Linked DNA regions of Anolis sagrei. The protein of the gene in region 2 purifies or fractionates together with the protein of the main gene of each other region. This does not show direct contact. Links are inferred from orthologs where the notes say so. Each region holds a gene or a part of one and is shown on either strand. Other genes may lie near its edges. The genes, in order: ANKS6 and NEK7.

Evidence for each region.
Region 1: the proteins of NEK7 (region 2) and ANKS6 purify together in Homo sapiens (affinity purification with mass spectrometry; 3 studies listed by BioGRID and IntAct, with this or other methods). This does not show direct contact. The link is inferred for Anolis sagrei from reciprocal best matches to the Homo sapiens genes NEK7 and ANKS6.

The regions. Positions count from the first base shown.
Region 1 is NC_090024.1:104,440,720-104,450,643, reverse strand, and holds the start of ANKS6 (ankyrin repeat and SAM domain-containing protein 6), read left to right. Parts: upstream 1-6,253; 5' UTR 6,254-6,262; coding exon 6,263-6,588; intron 6,589-9,924. Other genes in the region: GALNT12 (polypeptide N-acetylgalactosaminyltransferase 12), read right to left, coding at 292-701.
Region 2 is NC_090024.1:110,501,437-110,510,559, reverse strand, and holds the start of NEK7 (serine/threonine-protein kinase Nek7), read right to left. Parts: upstream 4,364-9,123; 5' UTR 4,086-4,363; intron 1-4,085. UniProt on the Homo sapiens protein: Protein kinase which plays an important role in mitotic cell cycle progression. Required for microtubule nucleation activity of the centrosome, robust mitotic spindle formation and cytokinesis.

The DNA.
Region 1 (9,924 bases), about 6.1 Mb from region 2:
CAGCGTTGGCAAAGTAGCGTTCTGCAATCAGCGTAGCACTACTCGCACTCAGTCCCAGCTATCATACTTTTACCCTGCTTTGAACTGGATTATCTGAGTCCACACTGCCATATATTCCAAATTCAAAGCAGATCAATGTGGGGTTTTCTTCAGCTGTGTGGAAGGGGCCTCAGATCACCCAGTTCAAAGCAGCTCTTGTGGGATGTTCTGCCTGGATATTCTGCATGGAAGGGCCCCAAGTTCCAAGCAGTGGTGGTCTAGGAAGGCGCCTCCTCCAGGGAAGGGACTCACTGCAGGTGGCGGCGCTCGGGGAGGCGGCGGTGGAGGGAGATGCGGTCGCTGAGGTAAATGTTGATCTGGTGGCGGGCCACGCTCTCCTCCTGCCGCCGCTGCTCCTCCTCGCTCAGCTCCAGCCGCGCCGCCCGGCCCAGCTCGCCCAGCTCCGTCTCCTGGCCCAGCGGCGGCTTCTCGTACACGGGCCGGCGGAGGAGACGATGAGACAACACCGAAGAAGAAGAAGAGGGCGCCGCCACCGCCGCGCCACCACCCCCTCCTCCGCCTGGGCCCGGCTCCGAGTCGGGAGGGCCCCGTTGCCACAGCAACAGCAAGCCCAGCGCCCCCAGCCCCGCCGCCAAGGCCGCGGCCACTGCTAGCGCGCGCTCTCCCCCGCGAGGGGCACGCACGCGCCGGCCCCGTCGCATCCCCAGCGCCTGCGCCCCTCAGGCAAGGCCCGCGAGGCCAGGAACGGGAGGGGGCGGGGCCGAAGGGGCGGAGCAAGAAAGGAAGGAAGGTGCTCGCCCCGCCCCCCGGCCTGCCTTCTGCGCGCGATCGCTGCGCGCGCGCCTCGCCTGCTTCAGAACTTCCGCCAGGAACCTAGTGGGAGCAGAGCGCGTGCCCCCCTCCTGAGAGGAGAGCGCGTGCCTCGCTGCCTGTAAAGCCTGCTTGCTCTCCCCTCTGGGATCCTTTTGCGGATATCAACGTAGTTGAAAGATTGCTCTCCCCTGCTTGCATTTCCCTCTTTTAAATCAGGTTCTGATGGGGGAATACAGTTGCACTGCTAATTATCACTACCTAACACGATTTTTGTTCCTGGCTTTTAGTTTTTGCAGTTTAATAAACTTTTTCCATGTTTTGATGATAGAATCAATTAAGAAATTACATTTATAACCAAGGAACAAAAATCACATTACATAGAGAGGGCCCTTCCAGACAGGCGCTATATTCCAAGATCTGATCCCAGGTTTTATATGAGTCCGTACTGCCAGATAATCTAAGATAAACAGAAAACGTGGCATGAGATCCTGGAATAAAGGGCGTGTCTGGAAGGGCTCATAGTGTAATGGATTGGACACCTATTAGATAGGGAAGAATTCCAGTAATCTTTATATATAAAATCTATAAATCCCAGCAACTACAACTCCCAAATGACAAAATCATTTTTTTAGTGATTGTCACTCACTGGGTTGTTAGGTGTATTCTGTCCAAATTTGGTGTCAATTTGTCCAGTGGTTTTTGAGTTATGTTAATCCCACAAACGAACATTACATTTCTAGGTTCTTGTGGGTTTTTTTCGGGCTATAGCGCCATGTTCTAGAGGCATTTCTCCTGACGTTTCGCCTGCATCTATGGCAAGCATCCTCAGAGGTACCTCTGAGGATGCTTGCCATAAATGCAGGCGAAACGTCAGGAGAAATGCCTCTAGAACATGGCCCTATAGCCCGAAAAAAACCCCACAAGAACCTAGTGATTCCAGCCATGAAAGCCTTCGACAATACATTACATTTCTATTTATATATACTACTAGCCATCCCTTGCCACGCGTTGCTGTGGTCCAGTTTCGTGAGCTGGAAAATAAAGTAATGGGAAAGTGTGGTTTCTAATACATGTAATGTCTTGATGTTTGTGAGTTAAAAGTATTTCTTGTTGTTTCTTTGTCAGTGTTGATGTGGAGATTGTCTGGTTTGCCTACTCTGGAACATGCAACATATAATTGTTCTTCTTTAGGGCTCCCTTTCAAATCTATGATACTATATCTGTTTGTGTGTCAATCATATATATCTATCTATCAGGAGCCCCCGGTGGTGCAGTGGGTTAAAGCCCTGTGCTGGCAGGACTGAAGACCGACAGGTCGCAGGTTCGAATCCGGGGAGAGGTGGATAAGCTCCCTCTATCAGCTCCAGCTCCTCATGCGGGGACATGAGAGAAGCCTCCGACAAGGATGATAAATCATCCGGGCGTCCCCTGGGCAACGTCCTTGCAGACGGCCAATTCTTTCCTGACACAACCTACCTACCTATCTACCTACCTATCTATGGCTGGATGGCTCTTTGTCAGGAGGGCTTTGATTGCGTTTTCTTGCCCTGGTGAAGGGAGTTGGACTGGATGGCCGTAAATATTTTCTGTTGGTCATGGGGGTTCTGTGTGGGAAGTTTGCCACAATTCAGTCGTTGGTGAAGTTCAGAATGCCCTTTGATTGTAGGTAAACTATAATCCCAGTAACTACAACTCCCAAATGTCAAGGTCTATTTTCCCCAAACTCCATCTGTGTTCATATTTGGGCATATGGAGTATTCGTGCCAAGTTTGGTTCAGATCCATCATTGTTTGAGTCCAAACTGTTCTCTGGATGTAGGTGAACTACAACTCCCAAACTCAAGGTCAATGCCCACCAAACCTTTCTAGTGTTTTCTGTTGGTCATGGGAGTCCTGTGTGTCAATTCCATCATTGGTGGAGTTCAGAATGCTCTTTGATTATAAGTAAATTATAAATCCCAGCAACTACACCTCCCAAATGACAAAATATTTTTGAGTGATAGTCATTCCTTGGGTTAGTAGGTGTCTTGTGGCCAAATTTGGTGTCAATTTGTCCAGTGGTGTTTGAGTTATATTAATCCCACAAACGAATATTACATTTTTATTGATATAGATTACTAGCTGTCCCCTGCCACGCATTGCTGTGGCCCAGTCTGGTGATCTGGAAAATGAAGTAATGAGAAAGTGTTGGTTTGTAATATTTGTAATTTCTTTATGCTTGTGGGTAAATAGTATTTCTTGCTGTTTCTTTGTCAGTGTGGATGTGGAGATTATCTGGTTTGCCTACTCTTGAACATGCAACATATAATTGTCCTTCTTTAGGGCTCCCTTTCAAATCTATGATACTATATCTGTGTGTGTGTCAATCATATATATCTATCTATATCTATGGCTGGATGGCTCTTTGTCAGGAGGGCTTTGATTACGTTTTCTTGCCCTGGTGAAAGGAGTTGGACTGGATGGCCTTAAGTATTTTCTGTTGGTCAAGCGGGTTCTGTGTGGGAAGTTTGCCACAATTCAGTCATTGATGAGGTTCAGAATGCTCTTTGATTGTAGGTAAACTATAATCCCAGTAACTACAACTCCCAAATGTCAAGGTCTATTTTCCCCAAACTCCATCTGTGTTCATATTTGGGCATATGGAATATTCATGCCAAGTTTGGTCCAGATCCATCACTGATTGAATCCATGGTAGTACCTGGATGTAGGGGAACTACAACTCCCAAACTCAAGGTCAATGCCCACCAAACCTTTCTAGTGTTTTCTGTTTGTCATGGGAGTCCTGTATGCCAATTCCATCATTGGTGGAGTTGAGAATGTTCTTTGAGTGTAAGTAAATCATAAATCCCAGCAACTACAACTCCCAAATGACAAAATATTTTTAGTGATGGTAATTCCTTGGGTTAGTAGGTGTCTTGTGGCCAAATTTAGCCACAATTTGTCCAGTGGTTTTTGAGTTATGTTAATCCTACAAACGAACATTACATTTGTATTTATATAGATGATGTGCAATGGAACTAAAAATTAGTGTTGGCAAAACAGATGGTGTCACAACAGCTGAGATGTATTGAAAAGTCATGCCAAATTCTTTGAGTTGCTAATGTGTACCTAACAATTCTCACAACCTTTATTTTCTTTTACTGAACCAATGTCTTAGTACATTTTTACAGACAGGCCAATTAACATTGCTTCACGCTGTAACGGCTGCTTATCCTTCGAGCAAAAAATTAAAATAAGTACATTTTTAGGCTTGGTTTAACATTAAACATATTCAATCTGATCTCTCCCTCAGGGCCTTGAACATTTCCCAATGCAAACAGCTCTATGCAAATCATCTTATTTAAAAACAATTCAAGCCAACATTTCCCAGAGAACCCATATCACAAATGATCAGGCACCTTGGCTATCTTTAGAATGAATGCAGCTTGCCACCACTTTTAAGTGCCATCATGGCTCAATGCTATGGCATCCTGGCCTCCCTTTTTCCATGAAAGTGCTTAAATGCAGGGAAATTGGAGGCAGGGACAGCCCTGGAGGGGTTGAGATGTCTGGCAGGGAAACAAGGAGACAACTGCAAGAAGAGCTGCTCCTGGTGACTCTGGTAGCAATTAAGTCAAACATGACCTCCCCCCCCCCCCCAGGTGGGTACAGCTAGTAGGGCATTAAAACCTTGATTAAATGATACACACTATCCAACATGGGAAGGGTCCATGTTGTTGTTGTTAGTGTCTTGGCAAATTGACCAAGGCTCAACCCTTATTATCCAGTCTGGTGTCCTTGTCCTTAGCAAAACTATAAGTTACTATCTTTTATTTATGATGGTTGTGGGAGTGATCCAGCATTTCTGTGTTCTTGAATAATATGCTGTGTCCGGGTTGGTTCATCAGGTGCTCTGCTCCAACAACCACCATGTCAGACTATTTATTTATTTATTTATTTATTTATTTATTTTACTTTGCTTGTATACCGCAATTTCTCAGCCTTGTAGGCGACTCAACACGGTTTACAACAAGAGCAAAAGTCAATCCAACAGCATACAAAATTTAAAAACCATTAACAGCATAATATACAAAATGACACATCAATAACAACACATTAACGTCTCGTAACTAGAATCGTGATCCAATTCGTCTTCCATAATTCTGTTTCCTATATTCATCGTGTACATTGCATTGTTTAACCGAACGCCTGTTCGAACAGCCAGGTTTTTAGGTTTCTTCGAAACACCATTAACGAAGGGGCTGATCTAATGTCCATGGGAAGGGCGTTCCACAGCCGAGGGGCCACCACAGAAAAGGCCCTGTCCCTCGTCCCCGCCAGCCGTGCCTGTGATGCAGGCGGGATCGAGAGCAGGGTCTCCCCAGAAGATCTTAGAGTCCTGGTGGGTTCATAAGCAGAGATACGTTCGGATAGGTAGCTTGGGCCAGAACCGTTTAGGGCTTTAAAGGCCAACGCCAGCACTTTGAATTGAGCCCAGTAGCAAATCGGCAGCCAGTGAGCTGGTGCAGCAAAGGAGTTGTATGCTCCCTGCGCTCCGCTCCTGTTAGTATCATGGCTGCCGCACGTTGGACTAGTTGGAGCTTCCGAGCCGTCTTCAAAGGCAACCCCACATAGAAAGCGTTGCAGTAGTCTAAACGGGATGTAATCAGAGCGTGGACTACCGTGGCCAAGTCAGACTTCCCAAGGTAAGGACGCAGCTGGCGCACGAGCTTTAACTGTGCAAATGCTCCCCTGGTCACCGCCGAAACCTGGGGTTCCAGGCTCAGTGATGAGTCCAAGATCTACACAGAGAAGCCACTGAAATCCACAAGCATGTGGACAATTTCAACAGAAAGGAGGAGACCATGAAAATGAACAAAATCCGGCTACCAGTATTAAAAAACTCTAAAATTAGAACAGCACAACAACAGAGAGGAAACAAACAAGGACATCTAATCACCTCTCAACAAAAGACTGCTCCAGGCACTGCCAGGCAATCAAATGCTAATCAAGGTGGTCAGTTGAAACATTCACACCTAGCTCCAGCAGACAAGAGGCCTTTGTCTCACCCTGGTCATTCCACAGATATATAAACCCTTTCTCCTAGTTCCAACAGACCTCTACTACCTCTGAGGATGCTTGCCATAGATGCAGGGGAAACGTCAGGAGAGAATGCCTCTAGACCATGGCCATATAGCCCGAAAAAACCTACAACAAACCAGTGATTCCGGCCATGAAAGCCTTCGACAATACATTATAGAAGATTGCTCTATCCATCTACCTATCTTCCTCCATGCGTGTGTTTGTATGTCTGTATGTATCTCACTGTCCATCTGCCCATGCTTGGACCATAGAGGAGACCAGGCCGAGCTCCCACGACAAGCCCCTGCCCCCGCCCACCCCGCTCTAAGCCCCGCCCCCTTTCGAATCTTTCCCTCCCGGGAGGCGTGGCCACGACGGCGGCTGGCCGGATGGGGGAGAGCGGGGTGCCTGCGGGGGCCCAGCTGCTGCTCCGTGCCTGCGACCAGGGCGACTGCGAGAGCGCCCGCCGCCTCCTGCTTCCGGCTCCAGGCACCCCGGCGGAAGAGGCCGAAGCCGAGGCCGGCTCTGCGGCAGCGGCGGGGGCGCCTGCGGGGGGCTTGGTGCCCGTGGACTGCGCCGACGAGGCCGGCAACACGGGGCTGCAGTTCGCGGCGGCCGGCGGGCACGAGGAGCTGGTGGGCTTCCTCCTGCGGAGGGGCGCCTCGGTGCAGAGCCGCAACCACTGCGGGTGGAGCCCGCTCATGCAGGCCGCCAGGTCAGGACCGCGCTGGGAAGGAAGGAGGGAGGGAGGGGTACCATCTAACGGGGCGGCCCATCTCTCCTTGGCCCAGGAGCAGGCCCGCTTTCAAGGGAAGGCCTTTCAAGGAAGGCCCCACAGCGCCCTCTGCCGGCCGATGGGAAAAGCTCAGCCCTGGGTTAATGATTTGCTTCCCACTGAACCAAGTGGTGCGTGATCCCTGCCTGAAGAGCACTGAGACCCCTTCCACATCTGCATAAAATCCACATTGAACTGGATTATATGGCAGTGTGGACTCAGATAACCCAGTTCAAAGCAGATACTGTAGCTTATCTGCCTTGATATTCAGGGTTATATGGCAGTGTGGAGGGGCCTTGACTCTCTGCTATGAAAAGGAATGAAACCCACAGATCAGGCTTCCTCCAGCTACACAACTCCAGCTGTTTGGGACTCCAGCTCCCAGAATTCCTGACCATTGAACAATATGGCTAGAGCTCCTAGGAGTTGCTAATAATTTATCGTGTCAGGCAACCAAACAGTTGTATTATTATTATTATTATTAAACTTTATTTGTACCCCGCTAGCATCTCCCGAGGGATTCGATGCGGCTTACATCAGGCCGAAGCCCAGCACAACACAATACACAATACAATACATAGCAAAAAACACAGTTAAAGCAAAGAACAATAGCAATAACAATACAACAAGACGTTATTAAAAACTTAGTCGGCTGGCGTGGGGTACAGGGTTAAAAGTGCTGAAAAAAGTGTCGAAGGGATATAAGATTAAAGTATAAGTGCGGTGTGCGTTGAGAATGATCTTGACTCTACTAAAGTGCTTCTGGGCTTTGGTAGTGGGGATTCCTAATCTGAGAAGGCACGTTGGAATAGCCAGGTTTTCAGGTTTTTTCTAAAGACCGCCAAGGTGGGGGCCTGTCTGAGATCTTTCGGGAGGGCATTCCAGAGGCGGGGGGCCACCACAGAGAAAGCCCTGTCCCGCGTCCCCACCAAACGCGCCTGCGAGGCGGGTGGGATCACGAGCAGGGCCTCTCCTGATGACCGGAGCGAGTGTGTGGGTTCGTAGACTGTGATGCGGTCTCGTATTACATTTTTGACAGAACAAACAAACACAGGCTTTCATGGCTGGAATCACTAGGTTCTTGTGGGGTTTTTTCGGGCTATATGGCCATGTTCTAGAGCAGTGGTTCTCAACCTTCCTAATGCCGCGACACCTTAAGACAGTTCCTCATGTTGTGGTGACCCCCAACCAGCAAATTATTTTCATGACAAATTTGGCAAAATTACTCGATACACCCAAATTTGAACACTGGTGGTGTTGGGTGGGGGATTGATTTTGTCATTTGGGAGTTGTCGTTGCTGGGATTTATAGTTCACCTACAATCAAAGAGCATTCCAAACTCCACCAATGATGGAATTGAACCAAACTTGGCACACAGAATTCCCATTACCAACAGAAAATACTGGAAGGGTGGGATGGGCATTGACTTTGAGTTTTGGAGTTGTAGTTCACCTACATCCAGAGAGCACTGTGGATTCAAACAATAATGAATCTGGACCAAATTTGACATGAAAATCAATATGCCCAAATGTGAACTCTGCTGGAGTTTGGGGAAAAATAGACCTTGACATTGGGAGTTGTAGTTACTGGGATTTATAGTTCACCTACAATCAAAGAGCATCCTGAACCCCACCGAGGTTAGAATTGGGCCAAACTTCCAACACAGAACCCCCATGACTAACAGAAAATACTGTGTCTTTGGCGACCCCTCTGACACCCCCTTGCGACCCCTCCAGGGGTCCCAACCCCCAGGTTGAGAAATGCTGTTCTAGAGGCATTTTCTCCTAACGTTTCGCCTGCATCTATGGCAAGCATCTTCAGAGGTAGTGAGTTCACTACCTCTGAAGATGCTTGCCATAGATGCAGGAGAAACGTTAGGAGAAAATGCCTCTAGACCAGGGGTCCTCAAACTAAGGCCCGGGGGCCGGATGCGGCCCTCCAAGGTCATTTACCCGGCCCTCACTTAGGGTCAACCTAAGTCTGAAACGACTTGAAAGCACATAACAACAACAATCCTATCTCATCAGCCAAAAGCAGGCCCACATTTCCCATTGAAATACGAATAAATTTATATTTGTTAACATTGTCCCTCATTTTAATTATTGTATTGTTTTAAAGTGTTTTTTACACTACAAATAATGTATGTGCAGCGTGCATAGGAATTCATATTTTTTTTCAAATTATAATCTGCCCCCCTAGCAGTTTGAGGGACTGTGACCTGGCCCTCTGTTTAAAAAGTTTGAGGACCTCTGCTCTAGAACATGGCCATATAGCCCGAAAAAAACCCACAAGAACCAAACAAACAAACATACAAAAGACACAGTTTGCAAGCTTGGTAGTTGATTAAATGTCCTTTGACCAGTATCTGGCCACTTGGAATGCCTCTGGTGTTGCCGCAAAAAGGTCCTCCATTGTGCATGTAGAAGGGCTCATGTTGCATTGCATTGTCTGTGGTTTGCTTTTTTTCTCCACACTCGCATGTCGTGATTTCCACTTTGTAGCCCCATTTCTTAAGGTTGGCTCTGCATCTCATGGTGCCAGAGCGCAGTCTGTTCAGCACCTTCCAAGTCGCCCAGTCTTCTGTGTACCCAGGGGAGAGTCTCTCATCTGGTATCACACACGGATTGAGGTTCTGGGTTTGAGCCTGCCACTTTTGGACTCTCGCTTGCTGAGGTGTTCCAGCGAGTGTCTCTGTAGATCTAAGAAAACTATTTCTTGATTTAAGTCATTGACGTGCTGGCTGATACCCAAACAAGGGATGAGCTGGAGATGTCTCTGCATTGGTCCTTTCACTATTGGCTGCTACTTCCCAGCAGATGTCAGGTGGTGCAATACCGGCTAAGCAGTGTAATTTCTCCAGTGGTGTAGTGCGCAGACACCCCGTGATAATGCGGCATGTCTCATTAAGAGCCACATCCACTGTTTTAGTGTGGTGGGATGTGTTCCACACTGGGCATGCATACTGAGCAGCAGAGTAGCATAGCGCAAGGGCAGATGTCTTCACTGTGTCTGGTTGTGATCCCCAGGTTGTGCCAGTCAGCTTTCGTATGATATTGTTTCTAGCACCCACTTTTTGTTTGATGTTCAGGCAGTGCTTCCTGTAGGTCAGAGCACGGTCCACAGTGACTCCCAGGTATTTGGGTGCGTTGCAATTAAAAAGGTAGAGATTTTCCCCTGACATGAAGTCCAGTCATGTCTGACTCTGGGGCATGGTGCTCATCTCCATTTCTAAGCCAAAGAGCCGGCATTGTCCGTAGACACCTCCAAGGTCATGAC
Region 2 (9,123 bases):
GAATAGCCTTGCAGCTTCAAAGCCTGACTGCTTCGTGCCCAGGGGAATCTTTTGTTGGGAGGTGTTAGCTGGCCCTGATTGTTTCCAGTCCAGAATAGACAATTATTTAGTGTCTCCTCCTCTGATGGCATCACTTGGTACAAATTGCACCTGCCACCCTCCCCCCCCCCCCCCCCCCCAATGATGACAGATGGATACTCTGGAAGATTCTTGTTCAACTTCCCAGTCATCAGCTTGTGGACTACTTCAGAGCTGTTTTATACCCCATGCTTTTTTTGGACAGTTTCTCCCATCAAATCTAGCCAGCATAATAATTGGTGAGGAACAATGGGAACTGCAATCTGAAGGGTCACACTTTGTCTATCCTATCAAATAAAGTATTTTGTTAAGTAGTCCATGTAGTGCTGGACAAGACTGGGTGAGACCCCAAAGACCCCATGCACACGTGTGCACGCACACACACAGTACATCAAAGTCCATAGTTTTCTGCAACTGAAAAGTGCTGCATGGTAGTCTCGGCCTTTTGGCTAAGATCAAGTGTAGTGTGTAGTACAAAGTTTTCTGGAGGAAGGAATGTCAAAAGGGAACAGATCCCAGAGATCAGAACAACTGTTAAGTCACACAGATAGTTATGCAGCACCATCTTGCTCTCTTGCTTGAACATCCAAGTATGGTTCTCTGTAATTACATCTCTCTTTACAACATAGGGGTCTCTATTTCTGATACACAGCAGTTTGATGCTTACTGTTGCTGTTTAATTCTATAGTTTCATCAAATTTATATGCTCCGCATCAGAGATAGCCATCTTGTGGCCTTCTACATACTGTTTGCCAGCAGCTCCCATAATCCTTTATTATTAGCCAAGGCTGATGGGAATTACAACCAACAGCACCTGGAAAACTACAAATTGCCCACCTGTTCTCTATTAAAGGGGATTGTTAATTCCTACCACATTCTGTGGTAGGAACAGTATGCGACAAAGCACATCAAAAAGTTGACTTGTAAAAATCTGCCTGCTTGTTTTGAAAGTGATCACAATTTACCATTTATTTTCATCCGGTGACTAATTTATAAACAAGTTTCAAACACATAGCCAAGTGAGTCAGAGATGTCAGTATCCAAAGGGACCTTGTTGCACCTTTGAGACTACAGCCACTGGGAGAAAGAAGTTGCAGTGCAAAAGCAGATGCTTCTGAGGAAATAGACCTAATAGGCTATCTATACTGCAGAATTATTGCCATTTAACTGGCACCGCTCAAAACTGTAGAACCCCCGGAGTCATGGTTTTTCAAGATCTTTAGCCTTGTTTGTTAAAGAATCCTGGTGCCTCACCAAACCACAAATCCCAGAATTCTGCAGCATTGAGACATGGCAAGTGGGGTCAAACTGCATTGATTCTCCAGTTGAGAATGCACCCCAAAGCTGAAGCCATACTGCAGAATGAAAGCAGTTTGGCACTGCATAAACTGCAATGACTCATGACAATACAAATAAGGGATTTGTGGCTTCATAGGATGTTTATGTCTGTTACCAGAACGAACAAGATGGACCTTTGGCAGTTAAAGGCTGGATCTTCACTGCCTGATATCCCAGGATCTGATCCCAGGTCATATGCTTTGAGCAGGATTATATGAGGCCCCTTGTTGGACCCTTCCACACAGCCATATAACCCACACAGCCATATAACCCAAAATATTAGGTGTATACCGCACCTAATCTCCAAAAACCTATCCATTTCACCTGGTCATGTCCAGCATTTTAAATTCTTTAATCATTACATTTGGCCCGGCCTTAGTTTTTAAATGTGTTGTGGTGTTATTGTCTAATGGTTATTGCTATTGTTTTAATGTTTATTGCTTTGTTTTATGAGTTTATTTATTGTTGTATTTGTTATGCTGTTGTTTTACTGATGTATTGGGCCTTGGCCTCTTGTAAGCCGCACCGAGCCCTTCAGGAGATGTTAGAGGGGTATAAATAAAGGTTTTTTATTATTATTATTATATTATAAATATTATATGTATATACAATATTGTTATTATTAACTTTATTTGTACCCCGCTAGCATCTCCCAAGGAGCCCCCGGTGGTGCAGTGGGTTAAAGCACTGAGCTGCTGAGCTTGTTGATAGAAAGGTCGCAGGTTCGATTCCGGGGAGCGGCGTGAGCTTCCGCTGTCAGCCCTAGCTTCTGCCAACCTAGCAGTTCGAAAACATGCAAATGTGAGTAGATCAATAGGTACCACTCCGGCGGGAAGGTAACGGCGCTCCATGCAGTCATGCCGGCCACATGACCTTGGAGGTGTCTACGGACAACGCTGGCTCTTCGGCTTAGAAATGGAGATGAGCACCACACCCCAAAGTCAGACATGACTGGACTTAATGTCAGGGGACTACCTTTACCTTTACCTTTAGCATCTCCCAAAGGACTGATGCGGTTTACAAAGGCCAAGCCCTCAACAAAACAACAGCATAACAAATACAACTCAAAGCAAAATCAAAAACATAAAGCAATAACAATAGAACAACAAAACATTACACCATAACACAATTAAAACTAGGGCCGGGCCACGTAATGGGTACAGATTAAAAAGTGCTGGGTGTGACAGGTGGTATGTTGGATTTCAGGGCAAGTGCTTCTGGGACATAATGCTGGAGTTTTCCTATTCCAGAAAGGCACATTGGAAAAGCCAGGTCTTCAAGCTCTTCCTAAAGACTGCCAATGTGGGCGCTAGTCTGATTTCTTTGGGGAGGGTGTTCCAAAGTCGGGGGCAACCACAGAAAAGGCCCTGTCCCTCGTCCCCACCAAACGTGCCTGCAACACAGGCAGGATCGCGAGCAGGGCCTCTCCGGATGAACGAAGGGAACGCGTGGGTTCATAAACGGAGATGCGGTCACGCAGGTAGGCAGGTCCCAAACCGTTTAGGGCTTTGTATGTAAGCACCTGCACCTTGAATTGGGATCGGAAGGTAAACGGCAGCCAATGGAGCTCTTTAAACAGGAAGGTTGACCTCTCTCTGTTGTTGTTGTTCATTCGTTCAGTCGTCTCCGACTCTTCGTGACCTCATGGACCAGCCCACGCCAGAGCTCCCTGTTGGCCATCACCACCCCCAACCCCTTCAAGGTCAGTGCAGTCACTTCAAGGATGCCATCCATCCATCTTGCCCTTGGTTGGCCCCTCTTCCTTTTGCCTTCCACTTTCCCCAGCATAATTGTCTTCTCTAGGCTTTGCTGTCTCCTCATGATGTGGCCAAAGTACTTCAACTTTGTCTGTAGTATCTTTCCCTCCAATGAGCAGCCGGGCTTTTTTCCCTGGAGGATGGACTGGTTGGATCTTCTCGCAGTCCAAGGCACTCTCAGAACTTTCCTCCAACACCACAGCTCAAAAGCATCGATCTTCCTTCGCTCAGCCTTCCCTAAGGTCCAGCTCTCACATCCGTAGGTTACTACAGGGAATACCATGGAATAGCACAGGCTATTTTAATTTGTTAAAATTGTTCTTCATTTTAATTATTGTTTTAAAGTGTTTTTTGCACTCAAATAAGATATGTGCAGTATACATAGGAATTCATTCATGTTGTTTTCCAATTATAATCTGGCCTTTCAACAGTTTGAGGAACTGTGACCTCTGTTTAAAGTTTGAGGAGCCCTGATCTAGTTCAAAGCAGAGAATCTGGATTGTATATGGTAGTGTAGAAGGGGCCACAGTGAAAGTGGTGTCAAACTGCAGCCATTCCCCTGTGCAAAGACACCCTAGGGAAGCCTCAAAGGTGCCACAAGATCCCTGGGCATAACTGACAAACAAGGCGCTCGCTCTGAAGGTAAACAGACGCCTGGGCCGAGGAGAAAGGGGCGTGGAAATGGCAGGCGGCGAGGGCTGTTTGTTTCCCCTCAGAGGAGGCGCTTTGGGCCGAGGAGGCGCTCTGGCTCTATTCGGGGATGAGGTCAGCTATCGCTGGCCACACCGCCTTCAGCCACGGCCTGGCCAACTCTCTCCCAATATAGTTTTCCCTTCGAAAGCGCTGAAGTGACGAAGAGCAACGAAGCTACTTGAAAGGAGGCCTCCATTCCCGTTTGGGACGCCTACTTACTCGTGAGGAGGCCCGACGCGCCTCCGCTCTTCTCCTCTCCTCTCTCCTTCCTCCTCCTCCTCAGCCGGCCCTCTTCGCAGGAAGTGCCGGGACTTCCTGCAAAGTGCGGTACGGTTGGGGCGAGAAGGAGGAGGAGGAGGAGGGAGAGAGAGGAAAGAGTCCGCCCCGCCGCTTCATCTCTCTACAGGCCATTTTCCCCTTTTCCCGCCAAAAAAAGAAAGGCCAGCAAGCAGCGCTTTTCAAACATCACAAAAGTTGAGGCCAGTAGGACGCCAATGTCACCCCCGCACTACGTCATAGAGCGCGCTCACGTGACCGGCGGGGAGGGACTCTCAGCCTGGAGTTTGGCAGCTCTTTCACTAGGCCTCCTCCTCCACTTGTGGCCCTGCGCCTGTTTGGGCCTCCATTTCCCACAATTCTTGTCCATTGAGGAAGCTGGCAAAGGCTTCTGGGAATTGGAGGTCCAAGCAGCTGAAGGGCTGCAGGTTGAGGAGGCCTAGTCAAAGTGGTCTTGGGATCCTTTTTGGAGCACCTTGTGGCCCAAAAGGCCACAGACTTGATACAACTTAACTATACAACTGCTGTTATAGAACTCCAGTATGCTGATGACAATGTCGTCTGTGCGCATACAGAAGAAGATCTACAAGCCACTCTCAACACCTTTGCAGAAGCATACACGAAGCTTGGCCTGTCACTGAACATCGAAAAAACCAAAGTGCTGATCCAGCAGTCACCAGCCATCCCCTCTCCAATGCCAGAGATACAGCTTAATGGCCAGATACTGGTCAAAGGACATTTAACCAACTACCAAACTCACAAGATGTGTATTTTTCTGTCTGTTTGCTTTGTTCTGTTAGAAATGTAATATATAATGGACTGGTTGCTCTGACACGACAAATAAATAAATAGCTTAATGGTGTAACATTAGAAAATGCTGACCATTTCCGCTACCTTGGCAGCCACCTCTCCACCAAAGTCAACATCGACGCCGAAATACAACACCGCCTGAGCTCTGCAAGTGCAGCATTTTCCCGAATGAAGCAGAGAGTGTTTGAGGACCGGGACATCCGTAGGGATACCAAGGTGCTTGTCTATAAAGCTATTGTCCTCCCAACCCTGCTATATGCCTGTGAAACGTGGACTGTCTACAGACAGTAGACAGCTCCTGGAACGATTCCATCAGCGCTGCCTCCGGAAAATCCTGCAAATCTCCTGGGAAGACAAGCGGACAAACGTCAGTGTGCTGGAAGAAGCAAAGACCACCAGCATTGAAGCGATGGTCCTCCAACATCAACTCCGCTGGGCCGGCCACGTTGTTCGGATGCCTGACCACCGTCTCCCAAAGCAGTTGCTCTACTCTGAACTTAAGAACGGAAAACGGAACGTTGGTGGACAGGAAAAGAGATTTAAAGATGGGCTCAAAGCCAACCTTAAAAACTCTGGCATAGACACTGAGAACTGGGAAGCCCTGGCCCTTGAGCGCTCCAGCTGGAGGTCAGCTGTGACCAGCAGTGCTGCAGAATTTGAGGAGGCACGAGTGGAGGGTGAAAGAGAGAAACGTGCCAGGAGGAAGGTGCGTCAAGCCAAACCCAAACGGGACCGCCTTCCACCTGGAAACCAATGCCCACACTGCGGAAGAAGATGCAGAGCAAGAATAGGGCTCCACAGCCACATACGGACCCACAAGGAAACCCATGATGGAAGACCATCTTACTCGTCCAACGAGGGATCGCCTAAGTAAGTAACAACTGCCATTTTGGAAAATGGCATTCATAACCTTTTGGAGATCATAACTTTTTGTAGAATTGACATTGGGGAAATGACAACAGAGGACTGGAAAAATACAGCTTTTCAGAGTTGGGTTGCAGTAATTTACCTGTAATAAACAATGCAAAAAACTTGATCCAGGAAAGAATGGGATTCAAGTTGAGATGATCCTACTGTAGTTGTATGTGCTTAATGTACAATTGTTGTTCATTCGTTCAGTCGTCTCCGACTCTTCGTGACCTCACGAACCAGCCCATGCCAGAGCTCCCTGTCGACCGTCACCACCCCCAGCTCATTCAAGGTCAGTCCAGTCACTTCAAGGATGCCATCCATCCATCTTGCCCTTGGTCGGCACCTCTTCCTTTTTCCTTCCACTTTCCCCAGCATAATTGTCTTCTCTAGGCTTTCCTGTCTCCTCATGATGTGGCCAAAGTACTTCAACTTTGTCTCTAGTATCCTTCCCTCCAATGAGCAGTCGGGCTTTATTTCCTGAAGTATGGACTGGTTGGATCTTCTCGCAGTCCAAGGCACTCTCAGAACTTTCCTCCAGCACCACAGTTCAAAAGCATCTATCTTCCTTCGCTCAGCCTTCCCTAAGGTCCAGCTCTCACATCCATAGGTTACTACAGGGAATACCATGGCTTTGACTAGGCGGATCTTTGTTGCCAGTGTGATGTCTCTACTCTTTACTATTTTATCGAGACTGGACATTGCTCTCCTCCCAAGAAGTAAGCATCTTCTGATTTCCTGGGCACAGTCTGCATCTGCAGTAATCTTTGCATCTAGAAATACAAAGTCTGTCACAGCCTCCACATTTTCTCCTTCTATTTTCCAGTTGTCAATCAGTCTTGTTGCCATGATCTTGGTTTTTTTGATGTTTAGCTGCAACCCAGCTTTTGTACTTTCTTCTTTTTATTTATTTATTTGCTATACTTGTATACCGCCGTTTCTCAGCCTAGCCGGCGACTCAACGCGGTTTACAATAACTTATAACAAACAACAGTATACAGTTTAAAAGCATAAAAACACGATCCACAATACATATATATATCATTCGGCCTGCAAGAACAGGAGAGGGTCGGCGTCCTGGCTGCCTCGCCTCCACACTGGTGAGATAAGCAAGCCAGGAAAGGAGGCTTTAAAACCTCTGCCTCCCAGCTGCACCTTACTATCATCCTGCCTGCTTCTTGAGAACTTGAGAACTCAGTGCTTGGAGCTACTCCTGCGAAGTTGCTCCTTCGATATCTATTGGTGTAGCTGCTTCTGGAGAACTCAGTGCTTGGAGCTACTCCTACGAAGTTGCTCCTTTGACATCTATTTGTGTAGCTACTTCTTGAGAACTCAGTGCTGGAGACCGAGAGGAGATAGACAGACAGACCGCTGTTGTTGCCGCTGCTGCGGTCGCCCTTGCCGCAGCGAAATTGCTGCCAGAGTCCATCCCCTCCTCAGAGTGCTGAGGAGGGACGTGTCAGGGCCTGTGCTGTTGCCAAAGCCGCCTCTGAGGCCGCCGCCGCGAGCGCCGCGTGTTCCAGCTGGGCCTTTACCGCCACTCTGCCATCCGATTGGGCCGCGGCAGAGCTGCCCCCGGGAGGGGACAAGCAACCGGGTGAGAGCTGCTGCCGCCATTGCTGCTGACACTGCCACCACCATCATCGTAGCTAAGGCCACGGTGGGAGCCTTCCCCTTCTCAGGGAGCTGTGAAGGGTGAGTAGCCCCCTGCCCGGCCGGTGCTGCTACCGCGGCAATTGACGCGACCCTTCAATAACCCCAGCCGGCGTTTGGCCTCGATTCCATCGGCCGCTAGTGCCTCTGGCCTGGTGTCCTGCAGGGCCTCCGTTGTGGAACTGTTGCTGTGGTCCTTGGCGCGCCTGCCCCGCCAACCCTTCGCGGCCCCAGTTGCTGCCGTTCGACTTGGCGCTTGGTTGGGCCTCCGGCGCATCGATCTCTGGCGCGCCGGTCTCCCGTGTGCTTGCTGCCTGCCGTGGCCCGACGCGTTGGCCCCGGCTCTGCCGGACACTTGGTCGTCCCTTCCTGTCACCCACCCGGTGCTCGGTCATCAGCCCGGCGTTCCGGCTCCGGCCCAACAATTAAGGACGTCCGGCCTGGCGTTCGAGGGAGTTCTTCATTGCGCCGGTTCGCTGATCTGCCGTTTCCCAGCGCCCCAGCTCCTCCATCCCTTTGGGAGTAATCCGCCGCCATTGCTCGAGTTTTTATCATCTCGCCGGGCAACCCACCAAATCCGGAAAACCGTGTGGGCCATCCTTGTTTTGGTTTAATTATTGCCATCTTCCGGCATCTCATTGTCTCCAATTTTGTGGGTTACTAGCATTTATACTATCAGCACCTTAACCTATTACATCAGTGGACTATTATTTTATATGAGCTTTAGCACCTTAATCTTTCTTAACCTTGCTATCTATTTTTGAGTGTGCTAATCATTCTTGACGGTGCCAATTACCTCTGCTTTTATTGACTATTATTGCAGTCTATGTTGACCATCTTAATTTGTGCTGACCGTTCCTGATGGTTGCTAACTAATCTTGATTCCATGACCAGTTGGTTACATCGTGTATTTTATTAATTGTTGTGATCTTGCACTTTATGCCATTAGCACTTTAAACTACTTCTTTGTGCACTTAACCAACTATAGCACTTTAATTCGATTGATACAGCTAGTGTTGAATCAGGCCTCCATGACGCACTTTAGTTAACACCTTGGGTTAATTTAAGCCATCGCATTTATTTGTTGTTCTACTGTGTTGTGCTGAAATAAGTTTCCATCTGTATTTCAACAGCTTAACCCTGCCCTGACTGTGCTTAACAATTACTACTCATGCCACCATCTACTTCTTGGCATCTGTTAATTTGGTTGCTAATTGCATATGTGGGTAAGAAGAAATGGAATAGCACGAGGGAACTCGAATACAGCCTAACAGGACCGAAGACCACTTGGAAGGCAAAGCTATGGCAAACTGAAACTGTAACATGGCATGCAAACCGCAATGATCCTTGGTTTATTATTATAAGCATCAAATGCATCATGGAGGAGGGAGAGGCTTCCGTTAACCGAGGAGCCCCCATAGAAGTCGTGGTGGGGAAGGGGTGATACGGGAAAAGGAGACCTTTAATTCGGCCTAGGGAACGTGGAACAACATTAGTAATCCCAAATCGGTCTCCTGATACGGTAAGTAGGTGTAACCAGGATGGCGGTCCCTCAGGATTGAAAGTGGTGCTGTTGAACGCCAGATCTGTCAATGGTAAAACAACTTTC